Linked DNA regions of Sus scrofa. The main gene of each other region encodes a partner of the protein of the gene in region 2 in a complex. Links are inferred from orthologs where the notes say so. Each region holds a gene or a part of one and is shown on either strand. Other genes may lie near its edges.

Evidence for each region. Proteins that work in one complex are often made in the same cells at the same time.
Region 1: the proteins of KCNAB2 (region 2) and KCNA3 are in contact, whole or in part, in a cryo-EM structure (PDB 7EJ2), measured with the Homo sapiens proteins. The link is inferred for Sus scrofa from reciprocal best matches to the Homo sapiens genes KCNAB2 and KCNA3. Residues at the interface, in NP_001186789.1 of Homo sapiens: Met196, Tyr199, Ser200, Arg203, Glu231, His234, Lys235, Ile236; in NP_002223.3 of Homo sapiens: Pro133, Met137, Phe140, Pro142, Leu143, Asn145, Tyr147.
Region 3: the proteins of KCNAB2 (region 2) and KCNA1 are in contact, whole or in part, in a crystal structure (PDB 1EXB), measured with the Rattus norvegicus proteins. The link is inferred for Sus scrofa from reciprocal best matches to the Homo sapiens genes KCNAB2 and KCNA1. Residues at the interface, in NP_059000.1 of Rattus norvegicus: Met196, Tyr199, Ser200, Arg203, Glu231, Lys235, Ile236; in NP_775118.1 of Rattus norvegicus: Glu37, Met70, Phe73, Asp74, Pro75, Leu76, Asn78, Tyr80.
Region 4: the proteins of KCNAB2 (region 2) and KCNA2 are in contact, whole or in part, in a crystal structure (PDB 5WIE), measured with the Rattus norvegicus proteins. The link is inferred for Sus scrofa from reciprocal best matches to the Homo sapiens genes KCNAB2 and KCNA2. Residues at the interface, in NP_059000.1 of Rattus norvegicus: Met193, Met196, Tyr199, Ser200, Arg203, Glu231, His234, Lys235, Ile236; in NP_037102.1 of Rattus norvegicus: Asp28, Glu33, Pro62, Met66, Phe69, Asp70, Pro71, Leu72, Arg73, Asn74, Tyr76.

Annotation. Positions count from the first base shown.
Region 1 is NC_010446.5:109,493,752-109,498,021, forward strand, and holds the start of KCNA3 (potassium voltage-gated channel subfamily A member 3), read left to right. Parts: upstream 1-1,468; 5' UTR 1,469-1,598; coding exon 1,599-3,365; 3' UTR 3,366-4,270.
Region 2 is NC_010448.4:67,008,370-67,011,878, forward strand, and holds part of KCNAB2 (voltage-gated potassium channel subunit beta-2), read left to right. Parts: intron 1-306; coding exon 307-392; intron 393-2,028; coding exon 2,029-2,149; intron 2,150-2,371; coding exon 2,372-2,466; intron 2,467-3,282; coding exon 3,283-3,403; intron 3,404-3,509.
Region 3 is NC_010447.5:65,563,079-65,567,041, reverse strand, and holds the start of KCNA1 (potassium voltage-gated channel subfamily A member 1), read left to right. Parts: upstream 1-1,161; 5' UTR 1,162-2,484; intron 2,485-2,849; 5' UTR 2,850-3,384; coding exon 3,385-3,963. UniProt on the Homo sapiens protein: Voltage-gated potassium channel that mediates transmembrane potassium transport in excitable membranes, primarily in the brain and the central nervous system, but also in the kidney.
Region 4 is NC_010446.5:109,556,669-109,560,774, forward strand, and holds the start of KCNA2 (potassium voltage-gated channel subfamily A member 2), read left to right. Parts: upstream 1-1,304; 5' UTR 1,305-1,643; intron 1,644-2,087; 5' UTR 2,088-2,250; coding exon 2,251-3,750; 3' UTR 3,751-4,106. UniProt on the Homo sapiens protein: Voltage-gated potassium channel that mediates transmembrane potassium transport in excitable membranes, primarily in the brain and the central nervous system, but also in the cardiovascular system.

The DNA of each region.
Region 1 (4,270 bases), on a different chromosome or scaffold from region 2:
AAAGAATCACTTGTTGGGGCATCTGATTCAACAAACGGGTATACTGAGTTCCTACTATTTATCAGGCTTGTTGGGAATTGCTAGGAATATAAATTGGATAAGATCTGGCTCTGCCCTAGAGAACCTGAGAGTTGGGAGTGGAAGCAGTGGCCACAAATCACTCTCACTTCAAGTCAAATTGTCAGCTAAAGTATGACTGGTGAGGGAGTTGTCTATACAACAGTCCCCCTTTTGTAAAATGATTTGAATGCTACAATGGAAAACACATTTTTTAAGCCTAGGGTTGACTCTACACGGCATTGCTAAAACGTCTGGAAAGAGAAATTATGTTCAAAGTGACCGCAACATTTTGAAGAAATACTTTGTTCAAAGGGGATAACTGTAAGTCATTATCTCCAGGCCAAAATCAAGCAAGAGCTCCAAGCTGCAGAATGAGGGTTCTCCCTGTTTCACAACCAGAGAGTGGCAAATTCTCTCCAACGAGGCAAGGCCGGCCTTGGGACATCAGAGAATACCGGTCTGGCTCCTGTCCCATCACAGACTTAAGATGTGAATTTCCTTTTTCATGTTCCTCTTATTCCCCCCACCCCCCGACAGGGCTGCCCTCGACTAATCTAACCAGAAACTTGGTCCTTGATTCTTCCTAATGGCTGAAGCCTCAGCTATGAAAGGTAGTAAGACCTATTCACCGTAGAAGCGAAGTCTCTGAATGTCTTTAATGACCGTCTTCTTCTGACTCTGGGTGCGAGTCTCATCAGCAGCCACATTATTCTGCTGGGCTTCTCACCCAAACAGGAGTTCAATTATTTACAGCCCTCCCATCCTGGCGGTGTTTCACCCTCAAGTGAGCACAAGGTGCTGGCACCCGGTTCGCCTTTTCCCCAGATCGCCCACCTGGCTTGCCACCCCTTCCGTCAGAAGCGCTGCGGTCCTACAGCGCGTCCAAGTCCTCCCTCCTCGCAGGCCTCCGCCTTAGGCCACCCGGGCCCTGTGGAGCCCCGCTCCCGCGGCGGGTCCAGGTGGAGCGTGCGGGGCGAGGAGGCCGGCGCCTGCGGGCTGCAAAGCAGCCCAGAGCCGATCGAGAAGGCTCGCGACCCGGACGCGGCCTCGGGGGGGCGGGGCCGCTTCGGCTGGGTGCGGGCTCTGCGGGGACCCTTAAATGCAAAATGGGGGCACTAGGGTGACCCAGAGGGGCGGGGAGGGCGGCGGCGAGGGGCAGAGGCGAGCGGCTACCTGGGAGCCGGGCGCGCGCCCGTGCGGTGGGCGGGAATCCGGAGGGGACGCGGAGGGGCGGGAGCGCGGCCCGCGGGGGGAGAGGGCGGAGGGGAGGGCGCGGGGGAGAGGAGGAGGGAGGAGGAGGGAGGAGGGAGGGAGGAGGAGGGAGGAGGGAGGGAGGAGGAGGGAGGAGGAGGGCGGGGAGGGCTGAGGAGGCGTCTCTTTGGAGCATCCCGCCGGCCCGCGCCAGACTCAGACCCAGCCTCGCGGCGGCTGCAGCCGCAGCAACAGGCGGCGGGCTCGCCAAGGGGCGGAGGCGGCGAAGGGGCGGGGAGCGCGAGGAGGAGCGAGCTGGTCCCGCGCCGCCGCCTCTTCCCCGCCGCATGGACGAGCACCTCAGCCTCCTGCGCTCGCCGCCGCCGCCGCCCTCAACCCGCCACCGCGCCCACCCTCCGCAGCACCCGGCGAGCCGCGGCGGTGGCGGCGGCGGCGGCGGCGGTGGTGGTGGCGACGCCCACACGCTGGTGAACCCCGGCTACGCCGAGCCCGCCGCGGGCCCCGAGCTGCCGCCCGACATGACGGTGGTGCCTGGGGACCACCTGCTGGAGCCTGAGGCCGCCGACGGCGGCGGGGACCCGCCTCAGGGCGGCTGCGGCGGTGGCGGCGGCTGCGACCGCTACGAGCCGCTGCCGCCCGCGCTGCCGGCCGCCGGGGAGCAGGACTGCTGCGGGGAGCGCGTGGTCATCAATATCTCCGGGCTGCGCTTCGAGACGCAGCTCAAGACCCTCTGCCAGTTCCCGGAGACGCTGCTGGGCGACCCCAAGCGGCGCATGAGGTACTTCGACCCGCTCCGCAACGAGTACTTCTTCGACCGCAACCGGCCCAGCTTCGACGCCATCCTCTACTACTATCAGTCCGGGGGGCGCATCCGCCGGCCGGTCAATGTGCCCATCGACATCTTCTCCGAGGAGATCCGCTTCTACCAGCTGGGCGAGGAGGCCATGGAGAAGTTCCGCGAGGACGAGGGCTTCCTGCGGGAGGAGGAGCGGCCCCTGCCCCGCCGCGATTTCCAGCGCCAGGTGTGGCTGCTCTTCGAGTACCCGGAGAGCTCCGGACCCGCCCGGGGCATCGCCATCGTGTCGGTGCTCGTCATCCTCATCTCCATCGTCATCTTCTGCCTGGAGACGCTGCCCGAGTTCCGCGACGAGAAGTACTACACCGCCTCGCCGTCGCAGGAGCTGTTTGAGGGGGGCAGCAACAGCACGTCGGGGGCCCCCGCGGGGAACTCCAGCTTCTCGGATCCCTTCTTCGTGGTGGAGACCCTGTGCATCATCTGGTTCTCCTTTGAGCTGCTGGTGCGGTTCTTCGCCTGCCCCAGCAAAGCCACCTTCTCGCGAAATATCATGAACCTGATAGACATCGTGGCCATCATCCCGTATTTCATCACTCTGGGCACCGAGCTGGCCGAGCGACAGGGCAATGGACAGCAAGCCATGTCCCTGGCCATCCTGAGGGTCATCCGGCTGGTGCGGGTCTTCCGCATCTTCAAGCTCTCGCGCCACTCCAAGGGGCTGCAGATCCTGGGCCAGACGCTGAAGGCTTCCATGCGGGAGTTGGGGCTGCTCATCTTCTTCCTCTTCATCGGCGTCATCCTTTTCTCCAGCGCGGTCTACTTTGCTGAGGCAGACGACCCCACTTCAGGTTTTAGCAGTATCCCGGATGCCTTCTGGTGGGCTGTGGTAACCATGACAACGGTAGGCTACGGTGACATGCACCCGGTGACCATAGGGGGCAAGATTGTAGGGTCACTCTGTGCCATCGCTGGTGTCTTGACCATTGCTTTGCCAGTCCCTGTGATCGTCTCCAACTTCAATTACTTCTATCACCGGGAGACGGAAGGGGAAGAGCAAGCCCAGTACATGCACGTGGGAAGTTGCCAGCACCTCTCCTCTTCAGCCGAGGAGCTCCGGAAAGCGAGGAGTAACTCCACTCTGAGTAAGTCGGAGTATATGGTGATCGAAGAGGGGGGTATGAACCATAGCGCTTTCCCCCAGACCCCCTTCAAAACGGGCAATTCCACGGCCACTTGCACCACGAACAATAATCCCAACTCCTGTGTCAACATCAAAAAGATATTCACCGATGTTTAACATATAAAACAAGTGACATGCTGTGCTCGGTATTGTGTGGACCGTGCCCCCTTGGTCTGTGTATGCCCTTGTTTTATACATTTCCAGACCATTCATCAAGGAAAGGACACGAAGAAGTGGAAAGCACTCTTCATTCTCCCTTCTCCCTACTGCTTCATACTGAAACAGGTGTCTGTTTTGCCAGTGGGCTGCATTCTCTCCGCTCTCCCTCCCCCTTTTTCTTTCCTCTCCTTCTCTTAATATTTTGGACGACAAACTTACTTTAAACTTGATTTTTAGCACACGCTCTGTTAAAAAAAAAAAAACAACTGTACATCCTGGGAGGAAATGAAACTAAAGAACAGTTAGAGTAACTGTTTAACCTCATAATCGAAAGGCAGTTGTTTCTTTACTAAGTAAAGCAAGCACATACATAAATGATGCTTTCTTTTGATGGACACTTCCAACATTATTGAATATTTCGTTCAGTTGCCTACACTGTGGATATGTGGATGAAAAGTCTTAATTGGAACTGTGACTTGTAAACCCACCGTAAGTTTATTTGGTTTTCACCCGGAATTTCTATTTGGAACCCGCCCCCTCCTGGAATTTTAAGGATCTCTGCAACTCTGAACAAAGGGAAATGCCCAAGATGTCCTGATCTAATTAGTTTAATTCTTTGGGACTTGTTAAGCATTTCAAAAGAATTAGACTAAGAGATTCCTGTGAAATTCTGTGTGTGTTCCAGCTAACATCCATCAAAGTCTAGAAACAGATGTTTTCAGTGCTGCTGAGAGAAACAAAAAAATGTCCTAATGCATCTGAGAGATAAGCTTCTGCAGTATCACAAGAAGATTAAAGTGGCAGACACTCCTTCCAGCGGAAGTTACTAATTCGGACCTGACTGATGCAGTTCCCATAGCAAC
Region 2 (3,509 bases):
AACCTGCCATGGAAACATCTCAAGCCATCCATAACCCATTTTTCAAAGACTCCTTAAGACCTATAACTATTTTGGGACATGGTTTTCAAGACCAGCTTCTTGGTTGGCAGCTCGCTTGTTTCTGTCGTCCCAGAAAACCCCTGCCACCCCCGACTCCGGAGCCAGGAAGCCCACTGCTTGCAAGCCGTCTTGGCAGCACCCTCTGTCCCCTCCCGGCGCCCGCCTGTATTTGCAGAATGTCCCCAGGCCGGGCCCCATGCTCCTGGCCGCCCCCTCCACCTGCGGTGTCCCCTTCTCTCGTGACAGAGACGGTGCGCGCCATGACCCACGTCATCAACCAGGGGATGGCCATGTATTGGGGCACGTCACGCTGGAGCTCCATGGAGATCATGGTACGCCGACCTCTTTGTGTGTGCGTCCACGGGCTGGGCTCCCGGGCCCCCCCTCTGAGCACGAAGACCCCCGGGGCTCTGGCAGACTCAGTGTCACGCAGATACCTGGGTACTTGGGGGAGCGTCAGGAAGGTGCCATGTGACAATGAGGTCTGCAGGCTTTGCAGACTGGAGCCTTGGCTTGAGTCCCAGCACTGCATGACTGATGGCTTCACCTCTCTGAGCTTCGGTTTCCCTGCCTGTAGAACAGGACTGCTGGGGCGACCCGCCCCGCAAGAGGCCGTTGTGAGGATTACCTGAGAGAACAGGTGTGATGCTCTTAGCTGAGGTCCTGGAGTTCAGCCAGCACTCAGCATGGTGCCAGGGCCAGCTGAGCTCTCACGATGTTCCCAGTGCCCTCGGACTTGAGGGCTTCGTGTGAACTAACTCCCATTTAATCCTCACAACGCTGTGTGAGGTGAGTGCTGCTTTCATCCTGTTTTCAGATGTGGACACTGAGGCACAGAGAGGTTAAGTACATGCCCAGGGTCACACAGCTCAGAGCCTGGGCTTCCCCCTCACCAGCACTTTCAAGAAAGCATCTCCTTTCCGTGTCATTTCCCTCCACGGGAGCCATCAGAAGCTGAGGGTGACAGATGTTTCATGACATTTCTGGGGTCTCTCAGAAGGGTCAGCAGGGTGGCTCCTCAGAGGCAGGCAAGGCAGCTGGTTGGTGGGGGGCAGGCAGGGGCCTGGGGACTGTGTCTTTCAGGCTGAGCCCCTCACCCCTGCCTCCAGGCTTTCTCCCAGCCTCAGCCCTTCCCATGGCCCACCTCCCAGAATTTCCCAAGTCCTGACATCCTGGGGAAGGGGTTTCTCCTCTAGTGAGCCCCGATTTCCGATTCATTTAAAAAATATATTAAGTAAGTTTTTCATTTCCAGTTAAATACCACTCTAGAAGGCCACAGGATCAATCAGCCTTTGGTGTTTGTGGCATTAATGATCAATTTGTCATTTTTCTGAAGCTGCCCAGGGCCAGCACAAAACACGCTAAGCTCAGCATCTTATCCCCACTCTACAGATGTGAAAGCTGAGTCTCAGACCAAAGGGGAAAGGGCCTCTTGGGCTGGCAGACGGGCTTCCGGGAGCCCACGCCCATCTGGTCTGCAGAGTGGAGGCCTTGAGCTCCAAGTCCCAGAACCAGGCTGAGGCCAGCCACTCCCTGCTCCTGACCGAGGGTTTTCTGCCACTGCCATCATCCTGGGTCCAGGCACTAGAGTGACAATCATGTTAAAACCGTGGACATTGGGCAGGCACTGTCCTGAGTGCTGCCAGCACCGCTGGCTCATTTGACCCTCTTGAACAGAAGGGGAACTGAGGCACGGAGGGGTGAGCCCCTTGCCCAAGACCACCTGGCCAATAAGTGCCAGAACCCAAGCCTCACTCCTGAGTTGTGCTTTCCCCCCAAATCCCTTTAGCCTTGGGGTCCCGCAATGCACCCACTTTTCACGCCTCACAGAGAGGGCAGCCTAACAGGCTCCCAGAACGGCTTGGGGATGGGGGCTGCCATCTCCTGGGGGTGCCTTTGTGTTTTCTCCCTGCTTTCAGGGAGGCCCCCCAGACCTGCTGACGGGCAGGGACCACTCTCCTTCTACAGGAGGCCTACTCCGTGGCCCGGCAGTTCAACCTGATCCCGCCCATCTGCGAGCAGGCCGAGTACCACATGTTCCAGCGCGAGAAGGTGGAGGTGCAGCTGCCAGAGCTCTTCCACAAAATAGGTGGGCTCCCCTGTCCGGCCCCGCCCTCGACCTCGCCCCGCCCCTCGCCCGGCTCTCCGCTTCCATTCGCCCCACCCATTTCCCCGGCCCTCCCCCTACCTCGCTCCACCCCTGCCCCTGCCCTGGCCCCACCCTCTCCCTCTCCTCAGCCCGTCCGGGTTCCCCTCTCCCCGGCCCTCCTTGGGGTCCCGGGCCTGACCTTGTCTTCCTTTCCTCTCCCAGGAGTGGGCGCCATGACCTGGTCCCCTCTGGCCTGCGGCATCGTTTCTGGAAAGTATGACAGTGGCATCCCGCCCTACTCGAGAGCCTCCTTGAAGGTGAAGGAGCAGCTGGGCCAGGGGAGGGCACAGGGAGGGACAGGCATTTCGAGGGTTGGGCCCTCTGGACAGATGCCCCGGTGCCGGGCAGGACTTGTGCGGGGGGTTGCAGGCATGAGAACTTAGAGGCCCAGCTGGCCTGACCCCCCCCCCCATATCTAGAAAGGCTGCCCACCTGTGGGACATCCCCCAGGGAAGAAGCCCCTCCCTCCCCAGGCCCCCTGGCCTCCACCCAGGTTCAGTGTGAACAGTCTGGGCTGGGTCCCCGAGGGCCATTTGAGATGCCTCCCCCAAGTGGTCAGTCCCACACTCTCTCTGGCCCATCCCAAGGCCTCTGGGCTGGGGGCTGCGGAGTTTCTTCACTGTCACTCAGAGGTCCCCATCCGGGACAAGACCGCCCCTCCCACCTCAGGCGCGGGGCCTCTGGATGACCTCCAGGTGGCAGGGTTTGGTGCCAAAGGAGCAGGCTGAGAAAGGCCAACCAGGCCAGGGCAGAGCCAGCACTGGCGCCCCCAGGCCCAGGTTCGAGGACAGGACAGCCCACCCCACCCGCTCCCCCCAACCACAGCAGGCCCCCCGGGGGCTCCCTGATCTGTGGACACACCTCCTGGGCTGCCAGGCCTCCTGGAGAAGGGAAGGTCGTCTTGTCCACCTCCTTGTCCTCGTCAGGGGCCCAGCCTCAGCTCCACCACAGGACCTGGTTAGGCCAGGGTCAGGGCATGCCATCTGGGCACAAATCATCCGCCATCTGCCCACAGAGGTCCCAGTGACCTGCCCTCACCTGCGGGCTGTGCTCTGTCCCCACCCCACAACCAGGGCTACCAGTGGCTGAAGGACAAGATCCTGAGTGAGGAGGGCCGGCGCCAGCAGGCCAAGCTGAAGGAGCTGCAGGCCATCGCCGAGCGCCTGGGCTGCACCCTCCCGCAGCTGGCCATAGGTAACAGGGCTGGGGACTGCTCCCCCAGGAGGACGTCAGGAGGCCTCGAGCACCTGGGCCACCCCCTCCCTCGGCCAGCCGTGGCTCCTGGGCTCCCGCATTCGTG
Region 3 (3,963 bases), on a different chromosome or scaffold from region 2:
CAGACTCTCATTTGCATCAAGAATGATGAATTCCTAGCTCAGCTCAGCAACTCTCTTCCAATTCCTTGGAGGTCCAGTCCTGTTCTAAAGACATCCTCCAGGGATGTTGAAAACTTCCTGATCTTACTATGCCCTCTTAATAAAACGTTGAATTGAGGAACCTGGGATCTCATCCAGTCTGTAAATCTCTTCTGTAAGGTGACCTCCCAATGCTGAATTGGGGGCAAGCGCACTCATGTGAAGCTAGGGAGATGACAGTTTTAGAAACATTTAAAAGAAGGAAGGGGGCAAAGGGAGGGACAGGAGCAGGGTTGGAAGCCCAATATTGCTGGGACATGTCAGAAAATATTTATCCCGTCTGGCCGCAGAGCGATTTTGGGTTAGAGCTATAGCAGCAGCATAGCCTGGGGAGCAGCAGCAACCAAAACAAGGGCCTTGACAGTATTTCAATGCAAAGCTTCTTATTTCTTTTCTTTCTTAGCTTCTTTTTTTCTTCAATAAAGCCGTAGGCTAGGAAGGCAAGGGAGCATGGAGTAAGTGGGATCCAGGAATATGTGTGTGGAAGGTGGGGAAAGGGCAGTCCTTCCTAGGGGAAGGAGGAGTTTTAGGTAACTCATTGTTTGTAAAAAGAAAAGCTGGGATATGGCTCCGAAGGAGTGGAGGGAACAAATACTTATTATTATTTTTTTCTGAAAGAAATGCGGGAGTCGCAATCTGGAGGAGGGACTTAGCTAGTTCTGTACCCAGGATTGTTGCGCTGCCTGGGCAACCCCGCAGAGGCCCCCGCTTCCCTCTAGCCACAATAGAGCGGGGAGGATGCAATCTTTGGCTTTGATTAAAGAGGTGGGTAGCGGAGGCGGGAGGCATCGCGGTCGCGGTGGTGCGAAGGGGTGGTCCAAGTGCAGCGGGGGAACCAATCGGCTGCGACTCTGGGTTCTTGCAGCCTCCTTGGAGACTCGGCAGCAGTCGAAGTACCGGAGCTGCTGGCTGGCTGCTCTCCTGCTGCAGGCGCCAAGGTGCAGCGCCTCTGCGGGCGCAGCTGGAGCCGCACTCGCCGTGCACCGCGCACGCCGCCCCCGGCTTTTGCTGCCCTGCGCCCGGGTGCAGACCCTTTCCCTAAGCAGTGGCAAGACTTGCAAGTGGCCCAGTGGAGGCATTAGGCCGGAAAAAGAGGCTTCGGGAGGAGTGACGTAGGTGGGAGGTGGGCATGCAACTTGCTTCTCAGATTCATGACACTTAGCCCCAAGTTGGCAGACACGTCCATGAGCCCACGGAGCTTTTGGTTTCCCACAAGCCGCATTCTCAGTATTTCAAAATAATCTGATGGCAAGAAAACTTCAACTCCTGTAGGTCAAAGAGGGACACATTTAACACCACCGCCTCGCAGTAGCGAGACAGAGAACAAACCCTGGCGATCCTCAACTGCAGAGCCCAACCCCATGTCCGCATCTCTCCGAGGCCAGCGGGGACAGACTGGGTCCGCTCTGCAGAGAACCCCCCCCCCCGCGGGAGGGGCAAGACAGCGCGCAGAGGAGCAGATTACTGTGGGACCGCACAAACGCAAGCCCATCCGAGGAGGAGTTGTGCCAGGAACACCACCGCCTGCATTGCGTCGGACCTGCCCATTTCCAATGTGAAATTCCCGGGGAAGGTCGCGGCCGAGGACCGTGTGTGTGCGGGGCTGTGGACCACAGGGGAAGGAGAACTGGTGGTCGGCTTTTCTGGCAGGAGAAGAAAAAAGCTGTGCTGGCAAGGGTGGGAACTGAATGACATCCTCCCTCTGCCAAGCCCCCCCTCCCCTCTGCTTTTCCATCTACCTCCTCGCTCCCGCCCTCCCCCGCCCTCCCCAACCCACGCCCGGGTGGGCCAATCGCTGCTCCGCATTCCGGGCGCTTTCTCAGGTTTCTGCTGATCTTGCAGCGCCCAGAAATGGACCGAGGGGACCCGCGCCGCACGCACCCTGCCCCACTCGGAGCTCGGAACAGCTCCCGGAGCGCCGCGTAGCCTCGGCGAGGTCTGCGTGGGGGTGCGGAAAGCGGAAGGGACACGCGAGCCATGTAGATCCAGGCTTTTGCTCGCTCGCCTCCTTCGGGATCGAATCAAGGGCTCCCGCTGTGTTGGGAGGGGGCGAGAGCGCTCCGTATCGTCATTTGCTTCAGAGCTCGAGAGAGGGTGGCATTTCGCTTCTCCGCCCCACAGCCTCCGGAACTCCCCGCACCCAAAAAAGAGCGGCGTCTCCAGGTTGCTGGCCGCGGGTGAGAATGGGAGTAGGGAATGGACATTTTCGCCGTACCTGCCCAATAAAGCGACTGGTCAGCTGAAGGAACCCAGGACGAGGAGCAAGGGCGGCGCGTTGGCCCCGGCGCCCCTCGGATGCTGCGGCGGCCGCGGCTCGCGCCCGGGTACCGCAAAGGCGACCTGCCGCATTCCCACTCGGGCTCTCCGCCGACTCTGCACCGCTCCTGCGCCAAGCCGGCCGGCCAGGTAGGGGGCTCCTCAGTTCGGGGCTGCAGCGGCGGGACTTGGGGTGACGGGTGGGGGAGGCCTGGGGTGCGGGGATGCTGCCTGGACCTGGAGCTCCCCCAGCGTCTCTCGGCGCTTTCCCGATCTCTAGTTTAACGAAGTTGTAAGCAGATCGGCTCTTGGGCAGTGAGGAAAGTGGGATGGACGAGCCCCAAACTTGGTTTTCGGGTGTCTGCGTGTATCTGTCTGCGTGTATGTGATCACCCTAGCAAAAGTCCCGTGCTTTCGAAACAAGCTAGAGGTCTGTGCTCTTCCGTGTCTGTGGGTCCGTCCCATGTGAACGCTTCTGATCTTCTGCCCCCGTATCACTTTCTATTTCTCTGCAGCATCCATCGATTGCCCTGGTGGGAGCTTAGAAGGCGGCAGGCGAAGAGGGCTAGGAGGGGGGAGAGCCGAGGAGAAGCAGAGGGGGTGGCAGGCGAGGGGATCTGCTGAGCTGGCTCTGCACCGGGTCCCAGGAGGGCTCGCGGAGGGGAGGGGAGGCCAGGGTGACCTCTCAGCGATGGCCCGGTCCGCTAGAACGGCTTTGCCTTAAGGCACTCGGAGCAGGACGAAACTCCCCCCCCGCCTCCACCGCCCACCCACCCCGGCGGAAAGCTGCTTCCCGGGCGTCAGGCAAGGGGGATTTCAAACGGAGGAACAGACAGGGTGGAGGGGACCATCTCAAGGAGCGGAGTGGCGGATCTCTCCACCTGCTGGCTCGGAAGCCCCGCCCCCTGAGCGCAGGGGAGCCGCGCACACCGGTGGGGGGGGCGCGCGGGTCCCCCCCACCCCGCCTCCCTCGCCCCTCCCCGCCCCAGGCCCGCCCCGGGTCTCCCGCCGCCGCCGCCGCCGCCGCTGCCGCCGCCCCCGGCTTCCACCATGACGGTGATGTCGGGAGAGAACGTGGACGAGGCTTCGGCCGCCCCAGGCCACCCCCAGGACGGCAGCTACCCGCGGCCGGCCGAGCACGACGACCACGAGTGCTGCGAGCGCGTGGTCATCAACATCTCCGGGCTGCGCTTCGAGACGCAGCTCAAGACGCTGGCGCAGTTCCCCAACACGCTGCTGGGCAACCCTAAGAAACGCATGCGCTACTTCGACCCCCTGAGGAACGAGTACTTCTTCGACCGCAACCGGCCCAGCTTCGACGCCATCCTCTACTACTACCAGTCCGGGGGCCGGCTGCGGAGGCCGGTCAACGTGCCGCTGGACATGTTCTCCGAGGAGATCAAGTTTTACGAACTGGGTGAGGAGGCCATGGAGAAGTTCCGGGAGGACGAGGGCTTCATCAAGGAGGAGGAGCGCCCCCTGCCCGAGAAGGAGTACCAGCGCCAGGTGTGGCTGCTCTTCGAGTACCCCGAGAGCTCGGGGCCCGCCCGGGTCATCGCCATCGTCTCGGTCATGGTCATCCTCATCTCCATCGTCATCTTTTGCCTGGAGACGCTGCCCGAGCTGAAG
Region 4 (4,106 bases), on a different chromosome or scaffold from region 2:
GGGGGCTGGCGCCCAGCGCAAGGAGAGAACGGGGAAAGGGCTCGGGGACCCTCCGGGCAGTGCGGGGCGCGGGGCGGAGGGCGCAGAGAGGAGCTGGCGGGTGATGGGAAGTGCAGCTGACAGCATAACCATGTCTGGTAAATAGCGCCGGTTGGTAGGACCCGAATCACTTGGGACCGCCGGGCTGCCTTCTCCTCTCCAGCTCGGAATTAAAACGGCTTTGCGGCCGAGAAGGGCTTCTCCGCTTCCTGGGGCCGTGGGCTGCCGCGGAGCCCCAGCTCTTAGAAGGACGCTGAGATCGGGGGCAGCAGCCTGCTCCCCGCCCCCAGAGTTCAGGCTCCAGGGTTTTTGGAAGGAACTCGAACCTCGGTGGTCCCTCGGCGGGACACCAGGGGCAAAAAGAGCTGGGCTGCGCTCGGGCCGCAGCGAGAGCCCACCGGACCGGGCAGGAGGGGGTTAAGGTGGCGCTCGCTGCCGCGGCCAGCTGGTGGGTCTGGTCCACCCGCGCGGAGCGCGCCCGGCGGAATCCCGGCCGGAGCCCGGGGCGATGGGGAGAGGGCCGGGACCCCTCCCCGCCCTAGGGCCGGCAGGATTGGGCCGGCAGGGGGCCAGCCCGGAAGCCCGGAGCCTCCCGGCTCCTCCGCTCGCTGCTGCCAAGCCGCCTCACAGCCAGGCGGACTGAGCCTTGCTTCTGCGCTCCCGGCCCAAGGAGACGGGAGGGATTCTCTCTTGGGGAGAAATCGGTGGTCGAGCGCCTGCCCGGTTCAAATGCCACCCCTCCCGGAGGGAGGCCTGCCCCCCAGGAATCCCCGAGGGAGAGTAAGTCCTGGGACCAAGCCAGCCAGCTTTTGGAGGCTGACCTTTCTGTGTGAGGGGTCTCCCTGAGCCCCGAAGGAGTGATGTTGGGGGGCAAAGGATGGGGTGTGTGGTCCTTCCTCTAGGACTCTGCAGAGGTCAGAGCTTGAAGTCAGGCTGCAGTGTAGCAAGCCCTCCCCGCTGCGAGATGCTGTGTCCTGACCTGGGGGTGGGAGGGCTTTGCCCAGAGGACCAATGGGGGAATCTGGCTCAGCCAGGGGAGGCCCCTGGAGGAACCGGGCCCAGCCAAGTCTGAAGGCTCTTTTCCCGGGAGAAAATGCTTCTAACTAATGGAAGCCTGCCCAGAGGAGGCTGGGAGGCTGAGGATAGTTCTCAGGTGTGACACCAGAATGGAAGGTGGGCATGGAAGCGAAGCCACCAGAGCCCTCCTAAATCTTGGCACCAGCTGCCCCAGAGCCCCGGTTCCACCTTGCTGCTGTTTTTTCCAGGCAACGTCACACCTCCTGAGGACAGCCAGGAGGACTCCGGCTTTTGCTGAGCATTGCATCTTGCCTCCTTCCTTCCAAAGGCTTCAGACCCAAGCTAGGCTGTCCTCAAGTCCTACATGCCCCTGGCCAGGCACTCCACGGCCCCTCCAGCCCAGCCCAGCCCTGGAGCTCACCTCCAGGACCTGGAGCCTGCCCTCCTGCCCAGAATGACTCACCACTATTTCTAGCTCAAGTGAGAAGACGTGATGGGGAGTCGGGCTGCCTGTTTGTGTATCTAGGATTCCCACAGCATCAGATCAGCCCTGCGAGGAAGACAGCTGCAGATTCCTGCCTTGCCAGGTAAAGCAATCTATTGCTTAATAACAGCCATGTGCAGAGCCATTGGGATGGGGGTAGTGAGGGAGACCCAGGCCCAAGACCCGCCACGGTGCGTACCTTCCAGGGTGCAGGTATCTGCAAGATGTTAGTTCAGTGCCTGGGAGTGGCCTCCCTTCCAGCCTCTAGTGTGGGAGAAATCAGTGCTCCTCAAAGCCTGTGTAGTGCAGCGGGACCTGTACCAGCCACCTGCCCCCAGTGCAGGGCATTCCAGAGCTTTCTTGAGAGATTGCCCCCTGCTCCCCTCTGATCCACAGCCAGGTTGAAAGGGGAAAGGAAAGCTTGCTTTTTTGTCGTGGGGGTGGGGGTGGGGGTGACGTCTTTGAACTTTTGGCTGAAAAAGCGGCAACCCAGGTCCGGCTGCCAGTGCTGAGTGGTCTTATGTCCTTAACCGCCTCTGTCTTTCAGCCAAGCGGGGCTGTCCCTTCGGCTCCCAGAGAGCCCTCGGGGCTCTCCTGCAGGAGCCCAGGCCGATGCTGCTGTGTTTCCTGGGGCCATAAGCAGCACCCTGAGCTCCCTGCCGCCAGGCAGCTAGAAGGCGTAGGGAGAGGCGCTTCTCTCGGTTCCAATTATGACCGTGGCCACCGGAGACCCAGCGGACGAGGCGGCCGCCCTCCCTGGGCACCCGCAGGACACCTATGACCCAGAGGCAGACCACGAGTGCTGCGAGAGGGTGGTTATCAACATCTCGGGACTGCGGTTTGAGACCCAGCTAAAGACCTTAGCCCAGTTCCCCGAGACCCTGCTGGGGGACCCAAAGAAGCGGATGAGATACTTTGACCCCCTCCGGAACGAGTACTTTTTCGATCGGAACCGCCCGAGCTTCGATGCCATCTTGTACTACTACCAGTCTGGGGGGCGGCTGAGGCGCCCCGTGAATGTGCCCTTAGATATATTCTCCGAAGAAATCCGGTTTTATGAGCTGGGCGAGGAAGCGATGGAGATGTTTCGGGAAGATGAAGGCTACATCAAAGAGGAAGAGCGTCCTCTGCCGGAGAACGAGTTCCAGAGACAGGTGTGGCTTCTCTTCGAGTACCCAGAGAGCTCAGGGCCGGCCAGGATTATAGCTATCGTGTCTGTCATGGTCATCTTGATCTCCATCGTCAGCTTCTGCCTGGAGACGCTGCCCATATTCCGGGACGAGAACGAAGACATGCACGGCAGCGGAGTGACCTTCCACACCTACTCCAACAGCACCGTCGGCTACCAGCCGTCTACGTCCTTCACCGACCCTTTCTTCATTGTGGAGACCCTCTGCATCATCTGGTTCTCCTTTGAGTTCTTGGTGAGGTTCTTCGCCTGTCCCAGCAAGGCTGGCTTCTTCACCAACATCATGAACATCATCGACATCGTGGCCATCATCCCCTACTTCATCACCCTGGGGACAGAGCTGGCTGAGAAGCCAGAGGATGCTCAGCAGGGCCAGCAGGCCATGTCGCTGGCCATCCTCCGTGTCATCCGGTTGGTAAGAGTCTTTCGGATTTTCAAGTTGTCCAGACACTCCAAGGGTCTCCAGATTCTAGGGCAGACCCTCAAAGCCAGCATGAGAGAACTGGGCCTCCTGATATTCTTCCTCTTCATCGGGGTCATCCTCTTCTCTAGTGCTGTCTATTTCGCAGAGGCCGATGAGCGCGAGTCCCAGTTCCCCAGCATCCCGGATGCCTTCTGGTGGGCAGTCGTCTCCATGACAACTGTAGGCTATGGAGACATGGTTCCAACCACCATTGGGGGAAAGATCGTGGGGTCCCTGTGTGCAATTGCGGGTGTGTTAACCATTGCCTTACCGGTCCCTGTCATAGTGTCCAATTTCAACTACTTCTACCACCGGGAGACAGAGGGAGAGGAGCAGGCCCAGTATTTGCAAGTGACGAGCTGTCCAAAGATCCCATCCTCCCCTGACCTAAAGAAAAGTCGAAGTGCCTCTACCATTAGTAAGTCCGATTACATGGAGATCCAGGAGGGGGTAAACAACAGTAACGAGGACTTTAGGGAGGAAAACTTGAAAACAGCCAACTGTACTTTGGCTAATACAAACTATGTGAATATTACCAAAATGTTAACTGATGTCTGATTGAACCCTATCAACGTGCTCACAGCTCAAAGGAACTAATGCAGATATTGCATAACAGCCTGCATTGTAGTCAGTGTGTTTCCACAGTGTGTATCTGGTTCTGCATGGAGAGCAATAGTCGTGCAAGTGACTTTCGATCTTTTGATTTTTGATTTAGAACGCAGAATATCTATCCATGGCTTTCATGCAAATCTTCATCACCGGCTTAGGGGGTTCCAAAGACGGGAATCACCTATGGAGCCAGGATTTCAGAAGGACACATTGAGGCCACCTCATAGCAAACACAGAGCCCACCACATCAGTGTCACCTTTCCTTCCCAAGGAGAGAGATGCACACGGCATCCTGGCGATGCGCC